Linked DNA regions of Pelodiscus sinensis. Each later gene encodes a partner of the first gene's protein in a complex. Links are inferred from orthologs where the notes say so. Each region holds a gene or a part of one and is shown in the gene's direction. Other genes may lie near its edges.

What was found.
Region 2: KLHL12 (region 1) and CUL3 share a complex: the UniProt entries of both Homo sapiens proteins name them as parts of the BCR(KLHL12) E3 ubiquitin ligase complex. The link is inferred for Pelodiscus sinensis from reciprocal best matches to the Homo sapiens genes KLHL12 and CUL3.
Region 3: the proteins of KLHL12 (region 1) and PLEKHA4 are in contact, whole or in part, in a crystal structure (PDB 8OIO), measured with the Homo sapiens proteins. The link is inferred for Pelodiscus sinensis from reciprocal best matches to the Homo sapiens genes KLHL12 and PLEKHA4. Residues at the interface, in NP_067646.1 of Homo sapiens: Phe289, Arg320, Glu417, Tyr434, Ile439, Phe481, His486, Cys511, Tyr512, Tyr528, Leu533, Cys558; in NP_065955.2 of Homo sapiens: Pro177, Gly178, Gly179, Pro180.
Region 4: the proteins of KLHL12 (region 1) and PEF1 are in contact, whole or in part, in a crystal structure (PDB 8RBH), measured with the Homo sapiens proteins. The link is inferred for Pelodiscus sinensis from reciprocal best matches to the Homo sapiens genes KLHL12 and PEF1. Residues at the interface, in NP_067646.1 of Homo sapiens: Phe289, Gln293, Arg320, Tyr321, Leu371, Glu417, Tyr434, Ile439, Phe481, His486, Cys511, Tyr512, Tyr528, Leu533, Cys558; in NP_036524.1 of Homo sapiens: Gly15, Gln16, Ala17, Pro18, Gly19, Ala20, Pro21, Pro22.

Annotation. Positions count from the first base shown.
Region 1 is NC_134737.1:16,710,057-16,717,489, reverse strand, and holds the start of KLHL12 (kelch-like protein 12), read left to right. Parts: upstream 1-4,424; 5' UTR 4,425-5,063; coding exon 5,064-5,246; intron 5,247-7,433. UniProt on the Homo sapiens protein: Substrate-specific adapter of a BCR (BTB-CUL3-RBX1) E3 ubiquitin ligase complex that acts as a negative regulator of Wnt signaling pathway and ER-Golgi transport.
Region 2 is NC_134720.1:16,974,706-16,982,495, reverse strand, and holds the start of CUL3 (cullin-3), read left to right. Parts: upstream 1-4,782; 5' UTR 4,783-5,117; coding exon 5,118-5,183; intron 5,184-7,790. UniProt on the Homo sapiens protein: Core component of multiple cullin-RING-based BCR (BTB-CUL3-RBX1) E3 ubiquitin-protein ligase complexes which mediate the ubiquitination and subsequent proteasomal degradation of target proteins.
Region 3 is NW_027465977.1:49,426-56,476, forward strand, and holds the start of PLEKHA4 (pleckstrin homology domain-containing family A member 4), read left to right. Parts: upstream 1-4,040; 5' UTR 4,041-4,205; intron 4,206-5,229; exon of another isoform or gene 5,230-5,368; intron 5,369-6,502; 5' UTR 6,503-6,544; coding exon 6,545-6,631; intron 6,632-7,051. UniProt on the Homo sapiens protein: Binds specifically to phosphatidylinositol 3-phosphate (PtdIns3P), but not to other phosphoinositides.
Region 4 is NC_134735.1:4,529,980-4,537,701, forward strand, and holds the start of PEF1 (peflin), read left to right. Parts: upstream 1-4,720; 5' UTR 4,721-4,848; coding exon 4,849-4,872; intron 4,873-7,722. UniProt on the Homo sapiens protein: Calcium-binding protein that acts as an adapter that bridges unrelated proteins or stabilizes weak protein-protein complexes in response to calcium.

The DNA of each region.
Region 1 (7,433 bases):
ATGGGAGCAAGTGCTCCTATCAGCTTCCCTTGCTCCTCATGATTTGAGGAGTACTGGTGTCGACGAAGGCGCCCTCAGCATTTGATTTAGCAGGATTAAGGGTCTAAAACAGTGTTTCTCAATGGTACTACGAGTACCCTTAAGGTACTTGAGAGAAGTCTGGGGGGAGGGGTACATTTACAAAACTGAATATTTGTTTTAAGTTTTATAGCATTTTATTATTTTTATACTTTTTACACCCAAAAATTTCATCATCCATCTGGCTACAATTAAGTTGTTTAAACAAATGTGCAATGGTAGAAAAAAAATCTGTGTCTGAAATCAGTAGGTACTGGAGGTACTTATAATTTTTTTTAAAGGGGTACTTTATTAAAAAAAGGTTGAGAAACACTGGTGTAAACACTTCTACAAGATTAAAAAGTCTAGGATATTTCAACTTGGAAAAGGGAATACTAAAACTGGATATGATACATCCTTGACTGGTGTGGGGAAAGCAAATAAGGAAATGTTATTTACCCCTTCACAAAACACTAGCGATGTAAGGGGTTACCTGATAAACATTAGCCTTACCCTTACTGGCATGCTTCTCAGGGTAACCAGTTAACTGGCAGCCTAGCCTGGCAGGAGCAGCAGATCCAGCCAGGTGAGAGCAGCTTCCTGCTACTGATCCCAGTTAAACATACCATTTAAATGGTAAACTTAAACTGGGATTTTACATCCCTACATCATACAGGAACAAGGGATCACACAATGAATTATTCCTTTGCACAATTCAGTCAGCCTGTGGAACCCTTTGCCAGAGGATGTCGAGAAGGCTAAAATGATGACAGAATTAAAAAAAACCTAGCTACATCTATGGATGATAGTGCCATTCATGCCTATTAGCCAGGACGGGCAGGGAGGCAATCGTGTACTGGGTGCCTCTAGTCCAGGCATGTCCAAAGTCCGGCCCGCGGGCCAATTGCGGCCCGTGTTCCGGTTTAATACGGCCCCACAGGTAATTTGGCAATATCTATCTTTTATGGCCCCCAACGAAGCCCCGAGCGCCGCTCAGGACTAAGGATGAGCTCGGGCGTGTTCGCAGCTCCACGTACCCGAACCCGCCGGGAAGCTGACAGCGCGCAGCGCTAATCACAGGTACTGAGACATTTTCCCGATCCGCAGCTGCAGAGATCGGGAAATGTCTCAGTACCTGTGATTGGCCCTGCGCGCTGTCAGCTTCCTGGCGGGCTCAGGCACGTGGAGCTGCGAACACGCCCAAGCTCATCCTTAGACTCTTCACCACACACAGCCACAAAGGCAAGAGAATTCTTGTTGGGCAGTGTATTAGTGCTCGGACGAACACACTTAGACCAAAACCTCTGGCACTGCGCTCACATGATCCCTTCCCCTTCTGGTCAATTTCAAAAATGGCGACTGTAAATAAGAGAAGGAAAGTTGACAGTGAGGGACAGGTGGAAAGTGGAATATTTCTTCACTGAAATACGGAATCACTGTGTTTGTCTGATATGCCAAGAGACTGTGGCTGTTTATGAGGAATCTAATGTCAAGAGACACTACCAGTCGAGACATAGCACATACGACAAGCTAACACGGCGCGACCGCAGTGAAAAGTTGAAGCAACTCAAAGCTGTTTTAATGTCACAACAGCGATTTTTCACAAGAGCCCGTGAGTCAAATGAAAATGCCACAAGGGCGAGCTATGAGGTGGCAACGTTAATTGCTAAAAATTGCAAATCTTTTGCTGAGGGTGACTTTATCAAAGAATGCGTTATGAAAATGGTTGAGAATATCTGTCCCGAGAAGAAGCAAGAGTTTGCCAACATTTGCCTGGCTCGTAACACTGTAGCACGGAGAACTGAAGAGATTTCATCAGATATTAAGAGACAGTTGACGTCCAAAGGAGTGGATTTTGACTTCTTTTCAATAGCCTGTGATGAAAGCACGGACCTATCTGACACAGCTCAGTTGCTGATTTTTATGAGAGGGGTGGACGATGAAATGAATGTGACTGAAGAGCTACTTGACCTCCAGAGCCTTACGGACCAAACAAGAGGAAAAGATTTATTTGTTTGTTAGTTCCGCCATAGATGACATGAAACTGCCTTGGAACAAAGTTACTGGGATTATTACTGATAGGGCACCTGCCATGGCTGGTGAACGAAGTGGATTATCAACCCTAATCTGTAACAAGGTGATCGAAGAAGGAGGCAGAGCTATTAAACTCCATTGTATCATTCATCAACAAGTTCTCTGTGCTAAACATCTCAAATATGATCATGTTATGAAACCGGTGCTAAAGACTATTAATTTTATTCGCTCTAAAGCCCTGTGCCACCGCCAGTTTAAACAGTTTCTACTGGACATCCAGGCTGAATACGAAGATGTTTTATATCACAACGATGTAAGATGGCTCAGTCGGGGGTCTGCACTGCAGCGTTTCTACTCTCTCAGAAAGGAAATCGGAGAATTCTTGGAAACAAAGGGACAATCAATGCGAGAACTATCCGATCCTATTTGGCTGGCTGATTTGGGGTTTCTAGTTGACACAACAAAGCATCTGAATGTACTGAACACGAGTCTTCAGGGGAAAGATGCAGCGGTGAACCAGCTTTATTCACACCTCAAAGCCTTTGGAACAAAGCTGCAACTTTTCATAAGGCAGTTGTCACAAACACAGCCCAATACCATACATTTTTCAGCATTGCAGGAAATAATGAACAGTTTTCCACAGGACAATATCAGTGCGCAAACGAGCAGGTATGCAGCAGACATCGCATCTCTGGCTGGGGAGTTTAAACGGCGCTTTCAGGATTTTGCAGCTATTGAAAAGGAGATCAGCCTTTTCTCCTCTCCATTCTCGGTTGACCCCGATGATGCTCCAGATCAGCTGCAGCTCGAGCTCATTGAGCTGCATTGTGACAGCGAGTTACGCAGTCATCACAAACAGCTCTCTCTTGTGAACTTTTACCGCCAACTGGATAAGAGCCGGGTTCAAGAGATTCGAACATTGGCTAAGAAAATGCTGAGCTTGTTTGGCTCAACATATGTGTGAGAAGACATTCTCTGCTATGAAGTTTAACAAGAACCGCGTGAGGACAAGACTGAGTGACTCTCACCTGCGTGACATTTTGCGCATCAAAACCACTGCCTTTGAACCAGACCTAGCCTATGTGCTGCAGTCCAGATCTCAGTTTCACCCTTCACATTAGTGCAGGCAAGTTTTTTTTCCAATTGAGATGAATACATTGTAAAATCTCAGTTAATGTCCGTTGGTCTAAATCAGTTAAAAATATATTTGGACACAACATGTATACTTGGTGTTATGTTCCTGTTCATATTTTTTGAACTTAAAAGTTGACAGACAACCTTTATTACCAATAATATGTAATGTACTTTACAATGTTCCTGACATATATTTCAGCTTCCTGGATTTTTTTTTCATCTGGCCTTCAGATATGAAAGGCAGAGTGATTTAACACCTGTTTAGATTTGTCATCCATGTGACGAAATGAAAAGTATGTCGTTTGCAATAAACTTTGCGTAAAATAGTTAATTTGCATTTAATTTTAATGGTTCAAAGAATGTCAGGCAAAATGGTCGGCCCTCACGCATGTTCACTTCATCAAATCTGGCCCTCGTTGAAAAAAGTTTGGACACCCCTGCACTAGCCGGTTTCCCAGATGTTGGGTGTGGACCAGCAGGGATCGCTCACTTGATCATTGCCGGCGCCGTTCACACCCTCGGAAGCACCTTGCATTAGTCATCATCCGCAGGCGGGATATTGGGCAAGAGGGACAATCGGACGGAGCGATTCCGGCTGTTTTCGTGCCCTGTATTGTCAATGTCTGGCCGCCGTAGGGGCGCTGAGCGGGGGTCGGGCCGCGGGGCCCCCGGCGCGCTCTGGCCAGAGCCGCGGGAGCCGAGGCGCCGCTGGGAACGGAGCCCAGCGCCAGGCCGGCGGGCTCCGCAGCAGCTGCCCCGGCATCACCTTGGCCGCCTTGACTCTGCCCGCGGCGGGCCGCCTAGGCGGGCCCCGGGCCCGCAGCACCAGCGAGCCCGCCGGGAGGGGACCCGGCCCCCCGCCCGCAGCCGCGCCGCGCGCCTGCCCCTTCCCGCCCGCACTCACCGGCCCTACATCCCGGGCAGCAGCAGCGGCGGCTCCGGCTGGCAACACCGGAAACAGCCTCGGGTGTGACGCCACTTCCGCCAAAGGCAGCACCGCCGCTGTGTCCCACGTGATTCAGGGCACAAGCATTTCCGCTGGGGGCGGGCGACAGGCTGCTGTGATGACCTTCCCCGCGATTGGTCGCTGGTACCCCCCGGCCGATGTGATTGGATGCGTGAGTTAAAAGTGCTTTTCCTGCGCCCTTTGAGCCCTAGGCCTCCCCACGGCTGGGCGCGTGCGCAGAGCTGGCAGCTGCCCACGTGGTGCGTTCTAGCCCCGCCCCTTCCCTGGTCTCGGGGCCTCGCTCACCTGCCACCAGATCCCGGCCCGTGTCCCGCCACCCGCGGTGACCCCCCCCCCCGAGCGGGGCCAGGGGCCTCAGTGACCCCCCCCGTGCCGGGGGAGCGGGGCCTCAGTGACCCCCCCCCGTGCCGGGGGAGCGGGGCCTCAGTGACCCCCCCGTGCCGGGGGAGCGGGGCCTCAGTGACCCCCCCGTGCCGGGGGAGCGGGGCCCGGGGCCTCAGTGACCCCCCCCGTGCCGGGGGAGCGGGGCCTCAGTGACCCCCCCGTGCCGGGGGAGCGGGGCCCGGGGCCTCAGTGACCCCCCCGTGCCGGGGGAGCGGGGCCTCAGTGACCCCCCCGTGCCGGGGGAGCGGGGCCTCAGTGACCCCCCCCCCGTGCCGGGGGAGCGGGGCCCGGGGCCTCAGTGACCCCCCCCGTGCCGGGGGAGCGGGGCCCGGGGCCTCAGTGACCCCCCCCCCCCCCCGTGCCGGGGGAGCGGGGCCCGTGGCCACAGTGACACCCTCCCCCCCCCCCCCCACGCTTCTGGAGGAGCAGGGCCTGGGATCAGAGACTGTCCCCCTGCCCCATCCCGTGCTGGGAGAACAGGGCCGCCATGGCCCCCAAGGACATCATGACCAACTCGCACGCCAAGTCCATCCTGAACGCCATGAACGCCCTGCGGAGGAGCAGTACGCTCTGTGACGTGACGCTGCGTGTTGAACAGAAAGACTTTGCCGCACACCGCATTGTGCTGGCAGCCTGCAGCGACTACTTCTGTGCCATGTTCACCAGCGAGGTAGGCTCTCGAGAGCCACTTGTACATCCAGTAGAACACTCTTGTGCGGTCCTGGAGGGGGCTCATCTCAGCCACATTGACATGGTATTGGGCAAGGGCGCATTTCGGGCACATGGGGGGTAGCAGCTGCCATGCGCTCTGGGACTAGGGTTGCCAGGTGTCCGGTTTTGAACCGGAGAGTCCAGTATTTGAGCTTTCTGTTCGGGAAACAAATTGAGAAAATAGAAATATCTGGTATTTTCTAAATCAGGTGTAATGTAGATTGTGATGGAATGTCAAGTGTGTCTGGTATTTTTGTTGAAACAATCTGGCAACCCTATGGGACATGGCTTGCTTTTCATCCTGTTCCCTGGACGGGAGTGAGGGGAAAGTGCTTTTATTCTGTGCATTCCTTTCACACCTGGCTGGTAGAGCATCCCCTATGCTCCTGGTGGCATCCAACAAGCCTTTGTCTGCCAGTTCAATACTACAGGAGTGCTTAGACCCCCTTGTCCTGAGTACATCCCTACTGGCAGTAAATAGCTATTTAAAAAGTCAATGGGTTAAAATATATAATTGTAACTGTTGAACTTTTACATCGCTAACCACCAGAGGCCATTCTAGCCCTTAATAGCTTGCAGCCTGTCACAGTGAAGACTGAGAAATGTGGGGAGGGGAGAGTGGACTTGGCTCAAAGTTGTCCAGCTGGTCCGTGGCAGAACCAGGAATAGAACAGAGCATTGAGCTCCAGGGCTAGTGCCCTGTCCATGAACCAGGCTCTTCTTCTGACTACTTGCTAGTGATTTACACTAATTGCACATCCTTTTGCAAAATGTTGAAAGGAGATAATGTTTGGCTGTGCTGCAATTCACTGTTTGGTTCAGATTGTTAACTAGCAGTCGTTTTCTGTGCTTTGCTTCAAACTTAATGCAGTGGTAAATAGAAAAAAATGAGGGGAGGCAGAAAGGGGTTGGTCCTGCCTTGGGCGGGGCGCTGGACTTGATGACCTACTGAGGTCTCTTCCAGCTCTATGATTCTATGGATCATGGAACTGGGGTTGTAAAAGTTACATTTCTAATGCCTCTTCTTACACAAAGGCTGTGTCTACTACATCCCTCTTTCGACAGAAGGATGTTAATTAGACACTGTGAAATTGCAAATGAAGCAGGGATTTAAATATCCTGTGCTTCATTTGCATAATTGTGTCATGGCACTCTTCCGAAATGGCGCTTGTTCGAAAGTAAAACAGTCTAGTTGCAGTTCTTTCAAAAACGGCAGGCTTTTTCGAAAGATCCTGTACTCCTTGGTATAGACTGCGGTTTTACTTTCAAAATCGTGATAGAAATGTAGCCATGTTAGTCTGGTGTAGCTGAAACAAAATACAGGACTATGTAGCACTTTAAAGACTAACAAGATGGTTTATTAGATGATGAGCTTTCGTGGGCCAGACCCACTTCCTCAGATCAAATAGTGGAAGAAAATAGTCACAACTATATATTCCAAAGGATACAATTAAAAAAAATGAACACATATGAAAAGGACAAATCACATTACAGAACAGAAGGAGGATGCGGGGGGGGGGGGGGGGGAAGGAAGGTAAATGCCTGTGAGTTAATGATATTAGAGGTGGGGAAGGGTAGATGTCTGTGAGTTAATGGTATTAGAGGTGATAATTGGGGAAGCTCACAGGCATTTACCTTCTTCCTCCCCCCCCCCCCCCGCATCCCCCTTCTGTTCTGAAATGTGATTTGTCCTTTTCATATTTGTTCATTTTTTTTAATTGTATCCTTTGGTATATATGGTTGTGACTATTTTCTTCCACTATTTGATCTGAGGAAGTGGGTCTGGCCCACGAAAGCTCATCATCTAATAAACCATCTTGTTAGTCTTTAAAGTGCTACATAGTCCTGTATTTACTTTCAAAATGGCACTTGTTCAAAAGAGTGCCATAAGCGATTACGAAAATGAAGCGCGGGATATTTAAATCCCCGCTTCATTTGCAATTTTGAGTGTCTAATTTACATCCCTCTGTTGAAAGTGGGATGTAGTCTAGACACAGCCAAAGAAGAGAATTTTCTTTTCCTAGTAGCTTCCTAGTTGGTACGGAGAGAGCAGGCTGAAGCAAACTGGGAGTATGTCCACACCACAATTGTGTTCTTCCGAAAGTAAGTAAATCGAAAGAACAGAGGGGTTTTTCTGGCGTTGGTA
Region 2 (7,790 bases), on another chromosome or scaffold:
CCAAGTATTTTTTTTTCATGGGCAGGAAATGCTATTTGGTGACTGTTGCTCTGATATTCTTTATTTACAGCCTTGTAAAGGAAGCAAGTGATTGCAAGATAAAAGTAGAATTGTTCAGATACATCATATAAATATAGGTTACTTCAGCATCTTCTGTCATCTAATTCCTCCCAAAAGACATATGAAGCAATGGTCAAGGAAATTAAAATTACAAGTACAGAGATGTTGATTCAGGTCATACAAGAAGGAGGTAAAAAACCCTCACAACTTTTCAGGATAGGAACTAGGTGGAATATAATTTGGAATTACAATATTTTCGTTAACCTGTTTCTAAATACAAAAGTTTAGAAATAATCTTTTGAATACGTTTTCTGAATGTTTATTTTTATGCTTTTACTGGATCAAACAGACCCCCTTGATATCAACAGAATTGTTGGAGTTGGGAGAAGTATGGAGGGATGAGGATTGGTCAATAAAACAGCAAAATAAAACTTACCTCATTGTGTCATTTTTTACTAATCATGTAGTGACTTCAAAGGAACTTTTGCTTGTCAGGACTGCAGGATGAGATTCTAAATGTGATACATTGAAAACAAGCTACTCCCCATCCTCCCCTTCTCTTGAGCATACAGGCTATTACACAGGTTTTGTTGTATTGATGGTGTTATACATATCCTCAATATATCACGCAAAATTTGTGCAAAGCCTAAAACAAGCATCAACACAGACTGATAATTGTATTTATGTAACTAAAAAGAAATATGACTTTTTGTTCTTTTAAATAAGAATCTCTTCCTTCCACCCTCACATAGGCAGCTGCCTTTCTGAGTTTCCTTTCAAATGTAAAAACTTGAAAAACAATGAATAGTCTAGCAGCACCTTAAAGACTAACAAAACATGTAGATGGTATCATGAGCTTTCATGGGTACAACACACTTCTTCAGATGAAATGTTGAATGTTATAGAATGAGACCATGCTAATACACTTTCTCGGATTTTTTATTATTCTGATGCAACCCCTCACTGTGTGGATAGCGCCAAAATTCAAGTTAAGATTCTTCAATTTAAGCTATGCAATTACCGTAGCTGAAATTGCGTATCTTAACTCGAACTTATCCCCTAGTGTGAACCAGGGGTATCTAGAGCAGGAATTTCTGGCCTTTGTACTCAGAGCTTGCACACGAGTGTGAACTGTGAAGGGGACTGGAGGCAAACAGAGGATAAAAGTAGTCACAGTAGATAAACTTGAGCCCCATTATGGAAGGCTATTTTTCCCAAAACAGTTATTACTTTCTTTATTGTAGGAATATTTGATGATGTATAAATAAGATAGCTGGCATTGACTAAGATGGGCGTTAGGGCTACTAGCCATTGATAAGTAAATCCTGCCCTTCTTCACACACTCATCTCCCCTTTGATGGACACCACTAGTTCTTACGAGCAATTCCAATGATCTCTTGTGTGAGCACAAGACCCTACATTAGCAAAACTGCTTTATTCCTCCTAGAGATGGGAGCAGAAATTAGAAGAGTTCTAATAGGGGAGTTCTGTGCAGCTACCTGTTACAGAGCTGGAATGCAGAGAGGAGTGAACAGCAAGTTTCATATGAGATCCACTGGGCTGCAAACCTGCATGGGAAGAACCTCAAGCAACAATCTCTACTTGTAATAATTTTACTAAGTAAGAACCAGCAGTATTATTGAGCCTTCTATGATACCAAATGATCATACATTGCAAAGTTAAAGAAGGTTTCTTAAGAGGGCCAACATGGTTGTAACTGAATTTTTAAACGATGATCCCTCCTCTAGTGACATAATCAACCATTTAACTGACCTGAGTGGACCTCCAAAAAAAAAAAAGAGTATTTATGAGAGCTTGGTACGCTTGGATAGTGAGGTTGCACTATGTAGGGTTGCCAGGTGTCCGGTATTGAACCGGACAGTCCAGTATTTTTGCCTCCTGTCTTGTAAAAAAAATTCAGAAAATGTCCAGTACATTCTGATTTTTTTCCCAGGTAGGAGGCGAAAATCCCATTCTGTCTGGCTCAATACGGAAGCAACCTGGCAACCTTAGTGCTTACCGGATTCCGCAGGGGAGCTGTCCGGCCTGGCACAGAAAGGCAAGATGGCGGGTGGCCACCGGCAGCCTGTTAGGGCCAAAAGGCCTCACCACGCGGTTTTTAAAGGGTCCCCGGGGATTTTTTTTTCTTTTGCTTAACAACTCTCAGGGTCCTTTTTTCTGGCGTGGGTTTTTTTTTTGGGGGGGGGGGGGAGGGGTTCTGGCAACACTAGCCCTATGCATAAGGGAACAGTATGAAAAAAGGACAAAAACAGTATTCGAACGTGTTGTGCTAGAGCAGGGGTGGGCAATAAGCATCCCACAGGCCTGATGAAGATTACCAGATGCTTTATTTATGTGCAGATATACAGGTAAATCATCTGGTGGCCCAACATGGGCTAACCCTAGCAAACTGTGTATGGTCTGCAGGCTGCTTACTGCGGGCTCTATGCTAGAGCTATCAGCAGTAATGCAGGTACCTGCAATCCAAACTGCAATTTAAGGTAGGCTCCTTCTCCCAACCATTTGAACTTCTTGGAAGCAAAACTTTTAATTTAGACTTAATTGGTTGGTTTACTAAGGTCTCAAATGAGGAAGATAACACTGAAATGTATGGACACTATTTCTTCATATTGGAAGTTAGAAGGAAAACTTTGCCTCTCCTACCACTTGACTTTTTGGCTGTTAATGAAAAGTGGTTTAAGAACTAGACATTCTTATTCTAGAAACTGTACTTTTCAGAAGGGTTGAATGGCACTGTACTTTAGTCATGCTGAAATCATTAGAACTTTTTTTTTCTGTGCTCCTGTTATATAATTTTTCCATTCAGTGTATACGTAATTCTGAACAGGAGATTAAAAACATACACAAGAGGCACTTACATTAGTTTTAATGCTAAGTATTTGTTTTTAAGATGAAGGGAACAAATAGGTAAAGAAACTCTTACAGAAGACAAACTAGCTCGCAGGATATTTGTGCCTGTGTATCCTTTGTGCCAATATTTTAAAGGCATTTCTAGGAAATTGCCGAATAGTGTGATGATTTTAGTGTACTAGACTGAAAAATGCCTGTGAAAAGAGGAATTATGCTGTTGCAGGTAAAGTACAGATTGGGAACTGAAACAGGAGTTCTGTTCCTGTCTGTGCCACAGACTTCCTATATGGGATCTTGGGCTAGTCACCTATGCCCAAACTTCAAGTGACTATTAACTTTTTGTTTTTGTTCTTGAGTGACCCACCTGAAGGTCAGATGTGCTGAGCAACTGACTCTGCCTTTGACTTGCAAAATATATTTACAACATTTGATACTTTATATAAACTGTCCTAATTTGAGAGTGACCTATATTTAGCCTCACTCTCACACAGGGATTGCCTCAGGTGGCATCCTCATTTCTCAAGCATATATTGTGATTACTAAATTTTAAAAAGAGAAAACAATAACTGCATTTCAACATGACTATGAGTCTCGGAAGGAGTACAACACCCATGAGTGCCATGACTCAGTGAGCCAAAATTAACAGCTGGGAAACTTCAGGTTGATAATGGAAAAGGGACAATATGTCTGTGCAGTTTTTTACTTGGCCTATCTTTTAAAGAGACTGTTTGCTTTTGCTCTCTCCACATAGATTTGAAAGGAGTTATGGGCCTATGTTTAAGGCTGCGTCTACATTTGACTTTGTTTCCTTCAGTTTGCCCATCACTGCTACCATTGGGTGTTCAGCTATTATTACCAAATTATCAGCATATGAATAACCATCTCAGCACAGGTCTAGCAACCTGATGGCTAAAAGCTTTGTGAATGCTGGCACCTACCTAATTTATGCTAACAACTGAGTCACTATTACCATTGAGGATAGCTATATAGACCAGTGCTTATTCTGATTTCTTTATTTAAAGGCTCCATGGTGACAGAGCCTTGGTCACATTCTCAACCTTTTCCCAGTCCTTTTTTAAAAAGAAGAGTTGTGAGTCTTTCATAGTCACTTGAGTCCAGGAGCTGTGACTTTAGAAAAACACCTATTGGCATGAAATAAAAGGGAAAGAGCTGGCAGGTGGCTAGCCTAGACAACACCATCCTAAGGTCTGGGCATGTTGTCCACATGTGGGGCTCTAGTTCTAGCTGGGCCTGCAATGAGTGGAAGTAGCACTAGGCCCAGAGTGCAGTGCGGATAGTCCCAAGCTACGTCTACCCAACAGTGTTACTTTGAAATAACTGACATTATTCCGAAATAACAAAGCGCACAGCTACGTTACAAGCCTTTATTTCGAAATAATGGCGGGCTGGAGGCCGTCTTATAGCGAGGGCTGTACCCCTCAGTCAGCAGGAGTAAGGAAGTGGAGGGATGAGAGCTCTTCCTTCCACTCCTGCGGTGGGGACAGCGCCAAAGCCCAGTTAAGCTATTTCCACTTAAGCTGGGCAGTTGAGGTGGCTGAAGTTGTGTAACTTAATTGGACTTTAGCCCTGCTCTGCACAGGTACCATGGAGACCACGCCCCCGAGGCCCCACAGCAGCTACTGCTGCTAAAGCCACCACTTTCCCCCAGGCCAGCCGTGGGACCCCCTCTGCGTTCACCCCACCCGACTGCGCTGCGCTCAGCCAATCAGCGGCTGCCTTTGCCCCAGCGCGCTTTCTCTTCCTGCCTTTGCCTCCCCCCGCCCCTTTGCAGCCGGTGACAGCTCCGAGCGAAGTCTCGCGAGAGCAAAGCAGCGGGGGGGCCCCCACCCCCTCGCCCGCCCTCCCCGCCGAGCTCCTCCCCGCGCCCCTCCTGCCGCCGCGGCCGGATCTGTCTGTGGGGTGGGGGGGCGCTTGGCCCTGCGCACTGAGCGATGTTTGTCCGCCATCGCGGCGGAGGAGGGTGAAGGAAACGCCGCCGCCGCCGGAGACAGGGGCCTGCGCCGCCGCCGCCCGGAACCTCCCGTCGCCGCCTCTCTCCTCCCCGCCCCGCCGCCCCCGGGGCCGCCGCTCGGAGTGAAGGTCGCCTGGGGCCCCCGCCCGGGGTCTCCCCGCAGTCCCCCCCCCCCCCCACCCCGCAGCAGGCTCCGCTCGAGCCGGGTCCGAAGATGTCGAACCTGAGCAAGGGGACGGGCAGCCGGAAGGACACCAAGATGCGGATCCGAGCCTTCCCCGTGAGTCCCCGGCCACCGGCTGCGCGCCAGGCCCCGGCCTCCGTCCGCCCGCAGGCCCCGCGGCCGCCCGGTCTGTCACCCGGCTGCCCGCGGGAGGCGGGCTGGGGAGCAGGGCTAGAAACTCCGGGCACGGGGTTGGGCTGGGGGCTGGCGGGCGGGGGACACGCTCCGTGCCCCCATCTGTTACCAGCACAATGAAACCTGTCACCGCGGCCGAGCGGGGGAGGAAGCACCGGCGCGGGGGGCGGCGGCGCGGGCCCTTGCTAGGGTCTGGGACCGGCACTGGGGGTGGCGTCGCCGGCGCGGGCACTGGCAGGCGGCTGGGTGAAGGGGAGGCAGTTTGGGCACTGACCGCGGTTTTGGGGGGATGGTTTACAGACACTGGGAACGGTGAGGGAACAGCTCGGGCACTTACTGTGGATCGGTACTGGGGAGGGTGCATTACAGCGAGTGGGGACCCTCCACAGCATGAAGCATGTGGAGGAACCCATACTGGTGGTAATTCTTCCCCCTCAGAAGCTGTGTGTTTATTATAGTCATATGTTCCGAAAATATATTTAATGCCATTTCCAATTAAAGGCTTTCAGACAAGAAGCTACAAATGCACATAAACAAAAAAAGGAGTCTTATAACTCTATCTCTAAGCTAGTTTTCCTGCATATGGGAGATTTTATTTTGCAGGTATTGTTGGTCAGATGGTAAAACGTCAGGTGACAGTGTAACTTTTCATAGGACTGCTAGGATATATCCAACTCTGAGATTGCCAGTCACTTTAGTTATTGAGCAAATAAGACAGATTATTAATTTACACTGCTGTAAAACTGCTGTGCTTTGACAGTTTCTTCAGTTGAAGCTTAGAACAAATGAATGTGAAGACTGCTGTTAATGGTTTCCAGTATTACAAGATGTGTGGAAACTTCAGTCATTTTTAGTGATTTCCTGCAAAAGTGTGTGTGTGTGTGTGTGTATATAATATGTATATAATAAAAAGGAAATGCTCTATTGAGTCACTAGCCTTTAGTATTTATCTTAACTTTTTGTTACACCTGACCCAGCTAGCCAGTGGCAAACAATTATAATAGGTTGCTTTCATGAATAAACTGGACATACCTGTTCACATCTGTTCACCAGCACATAATATCAGGGAAGACCTGCTTAGCCAAAGCTCTTACCAATGAAGTTGAAAACTTTAATACTTCTTTAAATTGTTGGAAGTTATCTGTAGGTATTTGATTCAGCTGGATAGCTTCCCTCTTAAACTCTACTTCTAGTCAACAATAATTATTTATGTTGAAGGAAAAAAAAGTGTACTGTGAAGTAAAAGACTAGAAAGTTTTAAGTCAGGGTGGGTATCCAGTACATGGTTTGTTAGGGTTAGGTGCTGGTGGACTGCCAGATGCTTCGTTTACCTGAGTGTCCGCAGGCATAGAGCCCCCTGGCCCACTCCCAGTGGCGGCTGTTCCTGCTGTTCGCATTGGCAAGGAATAGTGAACTGCTGCCACTGGGAGCTGCCGGGCTTCATGACTGTGGATGCTCAGGTAAACAAAGCATCTGGCAACCTTCCAGTGGCTAACCCTGATGCACCTCATGTGGCCCAAAGGCTGGAGGTTCACCACCCCTGTTTTAAGTGGTGTGTGGCTGGTGATCTCCAACAGACATTATTGATTGTTAATAATACTCTTGTTCACAGCATAAACCTCATATTATCAGAACATTTGGAGGGCGGTATAGCAAAAGAATAGCTGATAACTTGTGTACTATAGTGGATTATCATACACCATTTTTGTCATTGTTAATGTTTATCTGTTTTACAGCAAACTTCTTTTCTTATTAAATCTAAATTCTGGCAGTCTTTTAAATTTGGCTAATAGGATCCATGCAAAATCTCTTTACGTATGTAGATGATGGTAAACTAAGAAGGGTTAAACAATGACTAGAATAAGTATTATTTTGCTTTTTATTTTTTGAAAGTTCTTGTAACTAAGCATATAAAATGCGGTTCGTGGGTGAAGAATGTTCATGTGGAGCTCTGCTTTCATAAGTGCTGAGAATGCTTGATATTTTTTCACCCCTCAAAATGCTTCTTGTTAGCATTGTTTTAGTTTTCCCTTTTTTGGGTTGTTTAAAGAATGGATTACAACTATCTAATTTATCTAATTATCTTCCTTTAAAAAGTAACACTTTTAAGTATATATTGACATCAAGGCCTCCAAATGCCAAATAGAACCTAACATCTGTTTATAGTATTTTTTTTAAGTTTTGCGATTTTAAAATAAATGTCCTTTTTTGCAACCAAACACAGTAAAAAGTTCACAAAGGATTTTTAACTGAAAAAGGGCATGTTAATGAATGACAATTTTTCTCTCTCATAATTATTTGCATGATAGTAAAATCTTAAAAACTATCACTCTCTCCAAAACCTATAAACATTTAGGCACGTGTGTAATTTGATTGGTTCATTTCAATGGACTCTTCATGAAGCTATATTTGTTTGCAAGACTGGGACCTGTATTTAGTATTTCCACCTTTTTTGGCTACTGTTTTCTCTTTTCACTTTCTCCAATTCTGATGCATTGTTCTGAGTTTTGAATTGTTGATGTTGCTAGT
Region 3 (7,051 bases), on another chromosome or scaffold:
CGTCAGTGTGACGTCAGGGGAGGCGGGGCGACAGCACCACGGAGCCGGCACGTAGGCAGGCAACACCCCCCCCAGCACAACACAACACACAGAGCCCAGCAACACAACACACACACCCCAACACAACACCCCCCAACACAACACACAGAGCCCAGCAACACAACACACACACACCCCAACATACAGAGCCCAGCAACACAACACACACACCCCAACACAACACCCCCCCAACACAACACACAGAGCCCAGCTACACAACACACACACCCCAACACAACACCCCCCCAACACAACACACAGAGCCCAGCAACACAACACACACACCCCAACACAACACCCCCCCAACACAACACACAGAGCCCAGCAACACAACACACACACACCCCAACACACAGAGCCCAGCAACACAACACACACACCCCAACACAACACCCCCCCAACACAACACACAGAGCCCAGCTACACAACACACACACACCCCAACACACAGAGCCCAGCAACACAACACACACACCCCAACACAACACCCCCCCAACACAACACACAGAGCCCAGCTACACAACACACACACACCCCAACACACAGAGCCCAGCAACACAACACACACCCCAACACACAGAGCCCAGCAACACAACACACACACCCCAACACAACACCCCCCCAACACAACACACAGAGCCCAGCAACACAACACACACACCCCAACACACAGAGCCCAGCAACACAACACACACACACCCCAACACACAGAGCCCAGCAACACAACACACACACCCCAACACACAGAGCCCAGCAACACAACACACACACACCCCAACACACAGAGCCCAGCAACACAACACACACACCCCAACACACGGAGCCTAGCAACACAACACACACACACCGCAACACACAGAGCCCAGCAACACAACACGCAATCGCCCAGCACAACACACAGAGCCCAGCTACACAACACGCAATCGCCCAGCACAACACAATACACAGAGCCCAGCTACACAACACACACACACCCACAACACAACACACATCTTCCAGCACGTGCCCAACACAACACACACACCACAGCACAACACAACACACAGAGCCCAGCAACACAACACGCAATCGCCCAGCACAACACAACACACAGAGCCCAGCAACACAACACACACCCACAACACAACACACAGAGCCCAGCTACACAACACACATCTTCCAGCACGTGCCCAACACAACACACACACCACAGCACAACACAACACACAGAGCCCAGCAACACAACACGCACACCCCCCAGCACAACACAACACACAGAGCCCAGCTACACAACACACACCTTCCAGCACGTGCCCAACACAACACACACACCCCAGCACAACACACGGAACCCAGCAACACAACACGCAATCGCCCAGCACAACACAACACACAGAGGCCAGCAACACAACACGCACACCGCCCAGCACAACACAACACACACCTTCCAGCACGTGCCCAGCACAACACACACACCCCAGCACAACACAGAGAGCCCAGCAACGCAACATGCCCACTGCACAGCACAACACAACACACATCTTCCAGCCCGTGCCCAACACAACACACACTGCCCAGCAGAATCCAACACACAACCATGCAGCACGTACTTAGGCCAACTCCACACACACAGCCTAACACATATCCAGTAACACAACACACGCACTCCAGCACATATCCAGCAATACAATACACACAACTCAAAACGTGTCCAGTAACACAACCTCGCACAACCCAGCATGTACCCAGAAGTGCAATGCAACACGTACACAACACAGCCTAGGACACACTGGTTCACAGCATAGCATGTAAGTAATAGAGCTGAGAACCGCACAACTCACACACCAATAAAAATACACAGCAGTCCCCAACGCAGCACGTACACATCACGCATTATGGTATATAATGTGGTACATACACAACACAGTGCAAGACAACAATTACATCGCAACCCAGTCCCACACAACAGAGCAAATACACAACTTAGTCACAATCTAACACATACAGCATAAAAGCCTAACTACACAACACAGGCAGAGCAATCACAACACGACAATTCAGCCCCTGAGGGCCCACTCAGAACATTGAATACAGGCCGCTTGCCAACTCAACACAAACCCAACACACGCACACACAGAGAACACCACAGCTTGGCAAAACTCAGCACAGAGCCCCAGCAGACACTCTTAACACCATCACACAACAAACCCCAGCAGTACACAAAGCGCAGCCCCCAACAAACTCAGCAGGCCAAGGTCACCTCGAGCCCGGGGACTGCCACCATGCCACGCAACCACACGCTGCAACACAACAGCCTCCAGCAACACAGCGTGTGGCACCCAACACAACAGGCACGATGCAGTGCTCCAGTGACCCACAACAACACACCCGCCACTAAACGTGAGACTAGGCAGGGAGAGGAGTGGAGTCTAGTGGTTCGTGTGAGAGAGAGACTGAGCCAGGACTCCTGGGTTCTCTCCCTGGCTGTGGGGTCTAATGGTTAGAGCAGGGGGGGCTGGGAGACAGCGTTCCTGGATCCTGTCTAGATATGGGGGTCCCAAACCAGGCCCGTTGGGGGAGGGGGCGTGTCTGGGGATCCCCGTCCACTCCTGCCGCTGGGTTTTCCTCCCAGGGCAGTTTCGCTCCTTTTCACTTTCACTTTTCGGTTTTATTTTTCTGTCCTGTCAAAAACTCCAGCAGGGGCAGTAGTGAGCTGCGCTGGGTGGGCAGTGGTGCCCAGTGGTGACAGCGGGGAGGGGAGGGGGCCGTTCAGGGCTCTCTGCAAGTCTTGTCGCCACTCCGTGCCTCAGTTTCCCCATTTGTGAAAAGGGGCTCATGACCCTCCTACAGTCCCTCAGGGGGTCCCCCATATGGAGCCTCACTTCTCTTGGGAAGCCCCTTCCCCACCTGCATCGTACGGGGGTGGGCCGACATGCTGCACCCCCAGGGGCAGGGCCCCTCGTCCCGAGGGCCTCCGGCCACGGGGGGCGCCAGAACCTCAGGCTATGTATGCGTGTCGGGGCGGGGGGTGATAGACACGAGCTGCGATGGGAGGGAGCAGGGGCGACCCTCCGAGGCACCTTCTCCCTCCCCGCCCCAGCAAATCCCCCTTCGCCCAGGCACCTCTCTGTCTCCCCCCCCCCAAAATCCACTCCTCCCCCAGAGCCAGGAGTCCTGGCTCCCCGCCCCCCTCTAACCACTAGCTCCCTCTTCCCTCCCAGAGCTAGGCGAGAACCCGGCACTCCCGGCCCCCTGCTCTCTGTCCCCGCCCGGCCCTGGGGTGGGAGGGGAGTGGACAGAGGAGAAAATCTCTTTGTCCCAAGCTCCTCCGGGGAGGGCGCTGGACAGCTGGGCGGTCACTCGGGTCGGGGGGAGAGGCAGGCAGAGGCGGTGTGTACAGACCGCTAGGCGGAGAGAGATAGTTCGATAGATACAGGGGTGGAGGGGCCGGGGGATGGACGGATAGAGGGGTGCAAGGCATAGATACAGGGGTGCAGGCAGACAGCTAGGGGGTGCAGGGGATGATGGAGGGGTGAGGAGGGGAACGGACGGGTGGAAGAAAGTCGGGAGAAAGGGCGGTGGAGCGAGAGAGGAGGAGGCTGAAGGAGCAGCAGGCAGAGGGAGCCAGAGAGTTGGGGGGCAGAGGAGGGGCAGGAGAGGAGTGGGGGGCAGGAGAGCAGGAGGTGGGGGCAGAGGAGGGGCAGGAGAGGAGTGGGGGGCAGGAGGGCAGGAGAGCAGGAGGTGGGGGCAGAGGAGGGGTAGGGGGCAGGAGGGGAGGGGCAGGAGAGCAGAAGGTGGGGACAGAGAAGGGGCAGGACAGGAGTGGGGGGCAGAGAAGGGGCAGGAGGTGGGGACAGAGAAGGGGCAGGAGAGGAGTGGGGGGCAGAGAAGGGGCAGGAGGTGGGGGCAGAGAAGGGGCAGGAGAGGAGTGGGGGGCAGAGAAGGGGCAGGAGGTGGGGGCAGAGAAGGGGCAGGAGAGGAGTGGGGGGCAGAGAAGGGGCAGGAGGTGGGGACAGAGAAGGGGCAGGAGAGGAGTGGGGGGCAGAGAAGGGGCAGGAGGGGAGGGGCAGGAGAGCAGGAGGTGGGGACAGAGAAGGGGCAGGAGAGGAGTCGAGGGCAGGAGACGGGTAGAGATCACCCTGCCCCCCCAAACAGCCCGGACCCCCGCGTGCCCCCCCGGAAACCAGGTAAGGCCCGTCCTTCCAGCCCCGCGCGCTGCCCCGCGCGTGGCAGTCCAGTCATTCCAGAGCCGGCGGGGGGCGAGGGGGGGGGGTGTAGAGCAGGTGGCCGCAATGGGGGGGGTCTGCCCCCGCCCGGGTCAGTGGCCCAGATTCCTTTGGGGGGCTCATGCCCCGCTCGCCCCGGGCACCAGCTGGCAGGGGGCAGGCAAGGGGGGCTCAGAGGGGATGGGGAATATGACGGGGGCTGGTCTGTCCCGAGGGGGGAACCCCACACTGGGAGGAGGTGGAGGAATATGCCCCCCCCCCCCGCCGGGGCCCTGAGCTAAGGGGAGGGGGCGGGCGGGACGCTCTGGGCTGTGGGGGAGGGGCGGGGGGCGGACACAGCTGCCGTGGGCAGGGAGCGGACCAGGGAGTTTTGTCCTGCTCTGAATTCCAGCTAAATACCTCGGGCCTGCCGGGCCCTGGCGCTGCGAGCTTCTCCCCAGCAGTGCCCTGGCCAGGGACTGCAGTGCTGCGAGCTTCTCCCCAGCAGTGCCCTGGCCTGGGGCTGCAGTGCTGCGAGCTTCTCCCCAGCAGTGCCCTGGCCAGGGGCTGCAGTGCTGCGAGCTTCTCCCCAGCAGTGCCCTGGCCTGGGGCTGCAGTGCTGCGAGCTTCTCCCCAGCAGTGCCCTGGCCTGGGGCTGCAGTGCTGCGAGCTTCTCCCCAGCAGTGCCCTGGCCAGGGGCTGCAGTGCTGCGAGCATCTCCCCAGCAATGCCCTGGCCAGGGGCTGCAGTGCTGCGAGCCTCCCAGCAACAGTGCCCCAGCTAAGGCTCTGATGCTGCGAGCTTCCCCTCAGCAGTGCCCCAGCCAGCAGCTCCTGTGCTGCAAGCTTCCCAGCAGCAGTGCCCCAGCCAGATCCGGTGCTGCGAGCTTCCCCGCAGCAGTGGCCCAGCCGGGGAACGAGTTAACTCCAGGCCGGCCGGGGCTCTGACCAGGGGTGGGGCCGAGCCGTGTCGGATCAGGAATTCTTGGCTCCCTGCGCCCCCGCAGGCAGCTGGCCCCTGTCTCAGCCGGCGCCGCGGCCGGGGGAGCCGGGAGCAGATAAAGCGGCTCTGTGCGGCGGGTCCCCCTCCGGCCTCTCCCCCTCCCGTCCCAGGATCCGGTGACTTCACCGCTTGCTTGAGCTGCAGTAAGGGGGGGGCAGGGAGAATGGGGGGGTGGATTATAATGGGGGGGCCGGGTGTGGGGGGATACAGTGGGGGCAGGGCTGTGCCAGGGTGTGGGGGGACACAGTGGGGGCAGGGCTGTGCCAGGGTGTGGGGGGGACACAGTGGGGGCAGGGCTGTGCCAGGGTGTGGGGGGATACAGTGGGGGCAGGGCTGTGCCAGGGTGTGGGGGGATACAGTGGGGGCAGGGCTGTGCCAGGGTGTGGGGGGACACAGTGGGGGCAGGGCTGTGCCAGGGTGTGGGGGGACACAGTGGGGGCAGGGCTGTGCCAGGGTGTGGGGGGATACAGTGGGGGCAGGGCTGTGCCAGGGTGTTGGAGGGTCCGGGGAGGGCGATAGTGGGTGTGTGTCTCGGTTCTGAGGGTCCCGGGGGATGCAGGTGGTGGGGGGGATGGGCCCCCTGGAACTTCCCCCACCCCCAGGAACTTCCCTGGCTTGCGGCACTGCTGGGGGGAAGCTCGCAGCTTTGCCATGGGGCCTTACTAGCGGCTGCTCCCACCACCCAACACATGCCCCTCCCCAGAGCTCCCCCCACCCCGCAGTGCCCAGGCCAGGGGCATGAATGGCTCCATTCAGCCTCCCGCCCCCCACCCCGGCTCCGGGAATCTGGGGTCGCCTGCTCAGGTCTTGCCTTGTTCTCTCGCCCACGCACCACCCTGGGCCCTGCCCGGGTCAGGGGAGATGCCAGCCTGCCTGGCGCTGCGAGCTTCCCCGCAGCAGTGCCCCCAACCAGGGATCCCTGGCGCTGCGAGCTTCCCCGCAGCAGTGCCCCCAACCAGGGATCCCAAGCGCTGCGAGCTTCCCCGCAGCAGTGCCCCCAACCAGGGATCCCAAGCGCTGCGAGCTTCCCCGCAGCAGTGCCCCCAACCAGGGATCCCAAGCGCTGCGAGCTTTCCCGCAGCAGTGCCTCCCAGCTGCCTGGCGCTGCGAGCTTCCCTTCGACAGTGCCCCAACTGCGGGAAGCTTCCCTGCTGCGGCGGCCCCAGCCAGCTCTCCCAAGTGCTGTGAGCTTCCCCGCAGCAGTGCCCTGGTGATGTGACCTTCCCCACAGCAGGGACCCCCTCTCCCGGCGCTGCGAGCTTCCCTGACTTCCTCAGCCCCTCTTGTGTTCCAGGCGTGGGCCGGGCCGGTCAGGAGCCATGGCCGACCGGGAGCGCCCCAGGAGCAGCCTGAGCCAGGCCAGCAGCGTCCTCACCATCTCTTCTGTCAGTCTCGGGGCCGCCAAGGTGTGTGTGTGGGGGGGGGGGGGGCTGGAAGGAGGCCCCAGGGCCCAGACCTTCTGGGAGCTGTTCCCCCTTGAGCCCCCCAGCACCTTCTCTCTGATCCTTCCCCTCCTTTCCTCCCCTACTGCACCCACCTTAATTCTCCCAAACTCCTGCCCCTGGGCCAGCTGGGGGCGAGTGCCCCCTGGAGGGGAAAGGCCCCCCGCCCCATTACCTGCCCCCGCCCCCCAGCCAGGCCTTGCCCTGGGCCGGCTGGGAGCGGGCGCCCCCTGGAGGAGAAAGGCCCCCCTGCCCCATTACCTGCCCCCACCCCCCAGCCAGGCCTTGCCCTGGGCCAGCTGGGGGCGGGTGCCCCCTGGAGGGGAAAGGCCCCCCCCCCCCGCCCCATTCCCTGCCCTGGGCCGGCTGGGAGCGGGCGCCCCC
Region 4 (7,722 bases), on another chromosome or scaffold:
GCATTTTCACCAAGGACTCCATTGGGAATGACCAAAGCTCGGGCCTCGCGACTGGTCGTGAATGATTTTGTTTTTTATTGCTGTTAATATTTGTTTCCTCTCGATTTCCAGTGGGGTTGACGTGTCAGCGTGTGTGTGCGTGTGCGTGTCTCTGCTTGTGTGTGTAAAGGGCATTGGGCACCGTCTGCTGTGACCAGCCAAAATACCTTTCCAGACCGGGTCTTCGTGTAGCATCGCCCTGACCGGCTCTGGAGCCCCATGTGTCTCCTCTGGCTTATCTTTTCAGTTCATTCGTAGTCGTTCAGCACCTTGTCATCACCAGCGCTGGGGCTGGAAGAGCGGGCGGTGAAGGGACCGTTCTTACCGGTCGTGCCGCTGCACAGACTCAGCTGTTACGTGGGGGGAACTTCAGGCACTACTCCGCCCCGGGTGTGAAATGACATATCCCCATTTCCCATGCCTGCGTCAATTCTTCCCCTGCCCACCCGGGCCTCTCCTTTTCCTCTGCTGCTCCTTTGGTGTGTAACGTGCCAGGGTCAGGTGCGCTGTCAGCGCCTCCTTGTCCAGGTACCGATGTCTCTCCGGCGGTGGAGAGAGTTCTTGCATAAAGTCTTGGCCCTCAGCACAGTGTCATTACGGGGAAAAATAAGACCAAGCAAGTTGGCTCAACAAGACACATTTTCAGGAGGCCTCTGCATCTTCTCATAGCCATGAAGCAGAACACTCGGCGGTCTTGCTGGCCTTTAACTCAAAGCCTTTATGTTCCGGGGAAAAACAAGTGTCTAACCTAAAAACCATGACTGGATTGCTAAGCGCTCGACCCGTTTCCAGCTATTAAAATCCACCGTCGGAGTGGTCCGTCACCACTTCGCAGCTCTGTGCGAGGAAGGGATGTTTTCCTCCCTGAAGCAGGGTGAATCTGGTGAGCAAACAGAGATAATAAAAACATTCCTGCCCAAGCTTTGTTTGCATTTATTTTAGCTCTTTTGCCAGTCATCCTTAGGACTGGAATTCTACCAAATTGTCTGCCCCTTACCAGGGGTCCACGAGAATTTTTGATGGGGACCCACTCCAAGATATTAGGTAAGTGGTCATGGGCCGCCCTTTTCCACGGAGGGGATGCGGGGGTGGGACAGATGCTGGGTGCAGAAGGGAGCTCAGGGTAGGGGACTAGGGTCCAGGAGAGGCTGTGGGGTCTGGGAGTTTGGATGATGGAGGGGGTTGTGATCTGGGGCACAGGATCCAGGAAGGGATATGGGTGCAGGAGAGGATTCTAGCCTGGGGAAGGGGTGCATGGTCTGGGCAGGAGTTGGGGGGAGGAGGCGGTAGAGTGCCAGAGGCACATTCTAGCCGGAAGGCGCTTTCCTAAGCAGCCCCCGGCCAGCAGCCCGGCTGTGTACATGGCTCTCCCTGCTAAGGGGAGGCGGGAGGGAAAGGCTTTCCCCACTGCCCCCATCCCCAGAAAAATCTATCAGCTCCTGTTGGCCAGAAACCAGCCAATGAGAGCTGAACTCTCCCTGCCCCCTGCAAAATCTCTCAGCTGTCATTGGCCAGTTTCTAGCCAATAGATGAAAGATTTTGCTGGGGGGGAGGGGAGCACGCTGAAGCCTCTCCCTCTCTCCCCGCACCTCAAGGAGCCATAGGAAGCAGCTAGCCGCTTTGAGCAGCCCTGCTCCCTGCTGCCAGGGCAGGCGTGGGCCGGATCAAACGGCTCGGTGGGCCGGATTCGGCCCGTGGGCCATACCTCATCTGCCGCTGGACCAGCACCTTCGCATATCCCTGCGCACACTCTCCACCAGGGCTGTAGCCCCATCTACTGCTTTCCTCCATGGCACCCCCGTAATCAGCTGTTGTAAGGCAGCTACTCGGGCACCTGCCCACGCCTGCGCCAAACACTATGCAGCGGAGACTCCATCAGCCTCCGACACACCATTGGGCCAAACAGTGTTATCCACAGCTTACTCACCAACTCCGCCGCCCCTTCCTCCGCACTGGGCCGCTGCTCCATAGTCCCCTAAGCCGGAGCACCCCCAGGGAAGAAGAAGGGAAGATTACTTACCTGGGCAGCAACGGAGGTGCTTCGAGATGGTTTCCCCGTGGGTGTTCCACGACCGTCCCTCCTCCCCTCTGTGTAGAGAAGGAACCGGGAGGATGGTTGGCTGTGCCTGCAGGATAGCAGCCCCGAGCGGCGCATGCCGGCTGTCCTGTGTATGCAGCCTACCTAGGGCGTGGCTACCATAAATCTCGACTAGAGGTGCCGGGGTGCACAGACACCTCAGGGGGTGCACCCACGGGGACAACCATCTCAAAGAACCACAGTTCCCTTCCTTTCACGCCCACAGACGGATTGCTTAACCTGCCGGGCTTGGTGGTGTTTTACATCTTTGGACCACGCAAACCCATCTAGAAAGCTAACCAGTCCTGCCTCCTCCGGTAAACCTATTGATTTAGCATTGGCAACTGGATCTGGCCTGCATTTATTATGGCGCTGTAGAGATTTGCCACTGCTCTTCTAGGGCCATAAACCTTCACAGAACGATACAATTGTCAGTAGGGATGTAAAGTGCTGACTATGCAAACCCATCACAGGCACTATCCTCTCCTGGAAAGAAAGGGTGGGATAAGACAGAGGGTGGAGAGCCCTGGGTCCGATGGGTGTGAGAGAGGCGTATGGGAGCGTGTGTTTGTGTTGTCTCTTCCGGTGCAAATCTTTAAAAGAAGATCAATAAAAAGACTCCAGCCACTCAGGTCAACTGCTGTTAATTGGAAGGTTTGTACTGCAGAGTTTTGATTGATGGCCATTAAACTCACTTGAAGACAAGTAGTTTTTCCAGGTGTCCCATATTGAGCATAGGGAAATAAGATCGCTCTAGAGTTGGTTACAGTCGGTCCTTGCTGTTGTTAATATTGATCCCTGAGAGCAGCCCAAACCGCGGCTCAGCTGCATCCATCCATTGAGCTGCTAATTCAGAATATGAATTGGGTAGCCTGCACGTACACAGAGTGGGTCTTGGGAGCTCCGTCAGCCAGACTGCAGCCCTCAGTGGAAAGTCTGCACATTTACTGCTCCAGAAGGTGGGGTGAAGAAAACCCACGGCTGTTAAGTATTGATGTGCTTGAGTAAATGAGCAGCCCGGAGCCCAGCAGAATTCCCATTATTCTCGTTAGCCGTAAGAGGAGTAATTTCCTGAGGCGCAGTATTTAAAATTGAACCCAGCATGGCTCCCGCAGACGCTGCCTTCCGAATGTCGGCTGCTCACTCCCCCCATGACAGCGAGATGCTGTCTCCGTGCCATTAACGCGCTTGACGAACAGGGTGTAAATTGGCACCGCATGCCACTTCAAACAGGGGAGGGCAGAGTTGCCAATTAACTCTCCTTGTACTTCCCTTGGTTGCCACTGCAGCCTGCCCTGGGCAGCACCTGCTTACGCGTCTGCATTTGGGCACGTTTCCATAGGCACTCACCATTTCTTAACAACCAGTGGAAGCAAAGGCGCCCTTTGGCATGGCTGGACTAGCAGGGTGTCGGGTGGAAGCTCACGCTTTTCTCTAGCTCTCTCCGAGCAGTGAATGCTGCCGGGAGTTAGGACTCTATCAGAGAGCAGGGGGTGAGGGCCAGCAAGTGACTTCATCAAAGCCGAATGCGTTGCAGTTTGCAGAGAGCTGGCAGCCTGCTACAACCAGCACTGAGACTGCACCACAGTACCAAGGCCCAAACACTCCCTCTTGCAGGGGGCAGGGAGGGCAGCAGCTTCAAGGTCAAGCCTAAGGAGCGCAGATGCTAGAAATGGATCTGACCCCTCAGATCCTCCAGTCTCTGCGTGGGGCCAATGGAGGGTTTGTTCCCTGCAGTACACTGGCTCTCCGGCCTTAGTCTTCTCCCCAGCTTGCGACTGGAATGATTCACTAAGGAGCTCTGCCCAGCTGCAGAACGACCAAGAGAAGTTTGGATCAGAGGCGGGAAGACGGGCACAGGGGCGGGGTTTAGGGCTGAAGGGGTGAATTTGGGTCAGAAGCAGGGGGAGGGAAGAGACGGGGCGGAGTTGGGGGTGAAGGGGACAGGGCTTGAGAGAGGGAAGAGGAGAATGGATGCTGCCAGAGGGTGTAAGAGCAGCCAGGGCCGGGTGAGCAGGGGAGGAGGGAACGCAGCGAGAGGAGAAGGCCTCCCGTCGAGAGCTATCCTTGCCCCCCGCCCCTCCATCCCCGCACGAGCCCCTTGCTCAGAAAGAAGGAAGGGTTATCGTTATGGGGGCAAGGCCTGGGCCGGGCAGGACAGGGTGCGGGCATAGGGCAGGGTGTGGGTCCAGACAGGAGTGGGGACGAGGGGCCAGGCCATGGGGCCAGAGGCAGGGCAGCGGGTGGGTTTGAGGCCAGGGCGGGGGCGTAGGGGCCTGGGATGGGATCTGGGTTCAGAGGCAGGGGGAGAAGGGCACTAGGAAGGGGGGGCGGAGGAGAGGGAGGGGGGGTTGATGGGGCAGGGTTTGGGTCAGAGCCAGGGGCGGGGCTTGTAGCTGTAGAGAGGCAGGGGGCGGGGTTGGGTGGGATGAAGGGGCGGGGTTCGGGGCAGGAAGATGGGCACAGGGGCGGGGCTTGGGGCCGAGGGGCGGGGCTTGTCGTAGAGGCGGGGGGGGGGGGGCCTACGGGCGCACTCCCGGCAGGCCCTTTAGGAGCTCCTCCCACGCTCCCCTAGTCACATGACCTCCCTCTGGGCGGAGCATCCTGACTGACATCCAGCAGCAGCCAGTCGACGCTCGCCTAGGAGACCGGCAACCAATCAGTGAATCCGGTGGGCGGGGCGATACGCTCAGCGCGCGGGCGGGGCGGAAGCAGAGTCTGGTCAGAGCGCCATGGCGGGCTACCCCTACGGGCAGGTGAGCGCGGGGCAGGGCGAGGGGGCTGGAGGGGGGTGTGGGGCGGAGGGAGGGGGCAGGGCGAGGGGGCTGGAGGGGGGTGTGGGGCGGAGTTAGGGGGCAGGGCGAGGGGGCTGGAGGGGGGTGTGGGGCGGAGGGAGGGGGCGGGAGGGGGGTGTGGGGCGGAGGGAGGGGGCTGGAGGGGGGTGTGGGGCGGAGGGAGGGGGCAGGGCGAGGGGGCTGGAGGGGGGTGTGGGGCGGAGGGAGGGGGCAGGGCGAGGGGGCTGGAGGGGGATGTGTGGCGGAGTGAGGGGGCAGGGCGAGGGGGCTGGAGGGGGGTGTGGGGCGGAGGGAGGGGGCAGGGCGAGGGGGCTGGAGGGGGGTGTGGGGCGGAGGGAGGGGGCAGGGCGAGGGGGCTGGAGGGGGGTGTGGGGCGGAGGGAGGGGGCAGGGCGAGGGGGCTGGAGGGGGGTGTGGGGTGGAGTTAGGGGGCAGGGCGAGGGGGCTGGAGGGGGGTGTGGGGCGGAGGGAGGGGGCAGGGCGAGGGGGCTGGAGGGGGATGTGTGGCGGAGTGAGGGGGCAGGGCGAGGGGGCTGGAGGGGGGTGTGGGGCGGAGTTAGGGGGCAGGGCGAGGGGGCTGGAGGGGGGTGTGGGGCGGAGGGAGGGGGCAGGGCGAGGGGGCTGGAGGGGGATGTGGGGCGGAGGGAGGGGGCAGGGCGCGGGAGCTGGAGGGGGGTGTGGGGCGGAGTCGGGGCTGGAGGGGGGGTGTGGGGCGGAGTCGGGGCTGGAGGGGGGGTGTGGCCAGGTGAGGGGGTAGGGTGGCGGGTTAGAGGGGGTGTGGGGCATAGTTAGGGGGCATGGGGCGGACTTAGGGGGCAGGGCGGGGGGGTTGGAGCAGTGGGGCATGGGAAGTGCCGTGGGGGGGGGGTTGGTGTGGATTTAGGGGGCTGGAAGGGGGGGTATTGGGGCGGTGATGACCTGGGGTTGGAGATGGGGCAGTTGTGGATGGCGTTGCGGAAAGGGGGGGCTGGCACAGCATGGGGTACAGTGGTGCTCCAGTGATGGGGTGCCACCCAAATGGCATCTCAGGGTGGGGTGACACCCAGGTGTCAGGGCGGCTCCAGGCTTGTGCCATCACCAGAGGCAGTGAGGTGACTGAGATGGTTCAGATGCCAGCCACTCTGCCTTCCTCTCCCCCCTAAACTGGGTCTGTCCTGGCCCCAAACCAGCTCTGGACAATCACCTCTCAGCATGGCCCCGTGCTCCCCGCAGCGCTTTCGCCTTCAAAATGTAGCAACAGTCCTGGGGGCTGCTGCTACACTTCAAAGGCAGAGACTTATCGACTAATCGAATAGTCGATGCAAATGGCATCAACTATTTGATTAGCCAGTTAATCTAAATGTAACCTCCCTAGTCACAAGGCAGCACTACAGTGTTCTTTCACAGTCCTCGAAGATGGTTGGTTTCCCCATTTAACATCCCTCCCTGTGTAAATGTTGTAACAGGGGGCAGCAGCCGTGGCTTCCATTGAAGTTCTCAATTGCTGTTTGCCCCCAAAATCCCAAGGGCTTTACGCTCTCCAGAAGTGCCACGAAAATGCACCCGCCTTTGGCGTGCACAGTAGCACCCGGGTGCCCGCTGTGATAAGAGGAAGCAGAGTATAAAAGGGCAGGATTTTTTGAAAGTGCCTTGTGATTTTGGCTGCCTCCACTTTTTGGGGTGCAGGTTGAGACAGGCCCTGACTTTTAGAAAGTACTTGATCACCTGCCCTCTGAAATCAGGCTCCTTTTAGGTGGTCACTGGCCACGGTTGTCAGAAGACCTGAAACTGTGCCGTGCTCAAATGAATGATGTTTTCCTGTAATCTCAGTTGAGTTGCCTTTCCTGATGTCAGCTGTTTACAGCCTAAACAGTGAACTCACTGGTGGGTCAGTGTGTGTTCCCTCTAATTTTTTCCATCCATGTGCAGAACAAATTTAGTTTTGTGCGTTGAGGCATGTGTGTATCCACTGGTAGTAACTAAGGGATGCTAGCATATAGTTGTTTAAATGATTATCTGAGAAGCTTGGGTTTATCTGTTAATGTTAACAACTACACCAGGGCTACTCAACACATGGCACATTTGTTTGTGGCCTGTGGTGCTGTTTGCTTTTACGCAGGTGTGACGGGCCGGGTCTGGGCACCGCTGAGGGCATCTGCTCAGGGTGAATTGTTCAAAACCAGGGCTGCTCACAGCCCCAGACTGGAGACCTTTCCCTAACAGGTCACAAACCAGTCACACTGAGTGCTTCAGCTGCCATCCAGCCAGCAGGAAGCCTCACGAGCAAAACCCCTCAGACACCCCAGCTCTCCCTGTGCCACAATCAGCCCTGGGCCTACACACTGGTGAGGGGTTATGGAACCCAATCGCACCTACCCCGAACGGGTTCTCCCAGTCCCAAGAAACCAGCCACAGATCCCTGGTCAGTTTACACTTTTGATCTTACCCACAAAATCACACTGGGCCAATTCTTTAGAATCTAAAATCGAAAGGTTTATTAATAAAAGAAAGAAAAGTTTGAGAGTAGGGTTGTTAAGGAGAATACATTACATGCACCAATCACCAAGTTCTTGATGCAGGCTCTCAGCAGAGATGTTACACACTGCTATCTTGCGTAGCAAGGATGTCTCTGGCATACATCCTATGTCAGGACAGGTCGGCAATCCTTCCTGGCTCTCCGTCCCTCGCAAGGCTGCATCTGGGATCAGGAGCAGAATTGAAGACAAGCTGGAGTCTGCCCCATATTCATAACTCCACATACAGACGTCTCACAAGTACACGAGCAGCATATATAGAATCAGTAGGACACAATCTTTTATTTGACACCTCACAC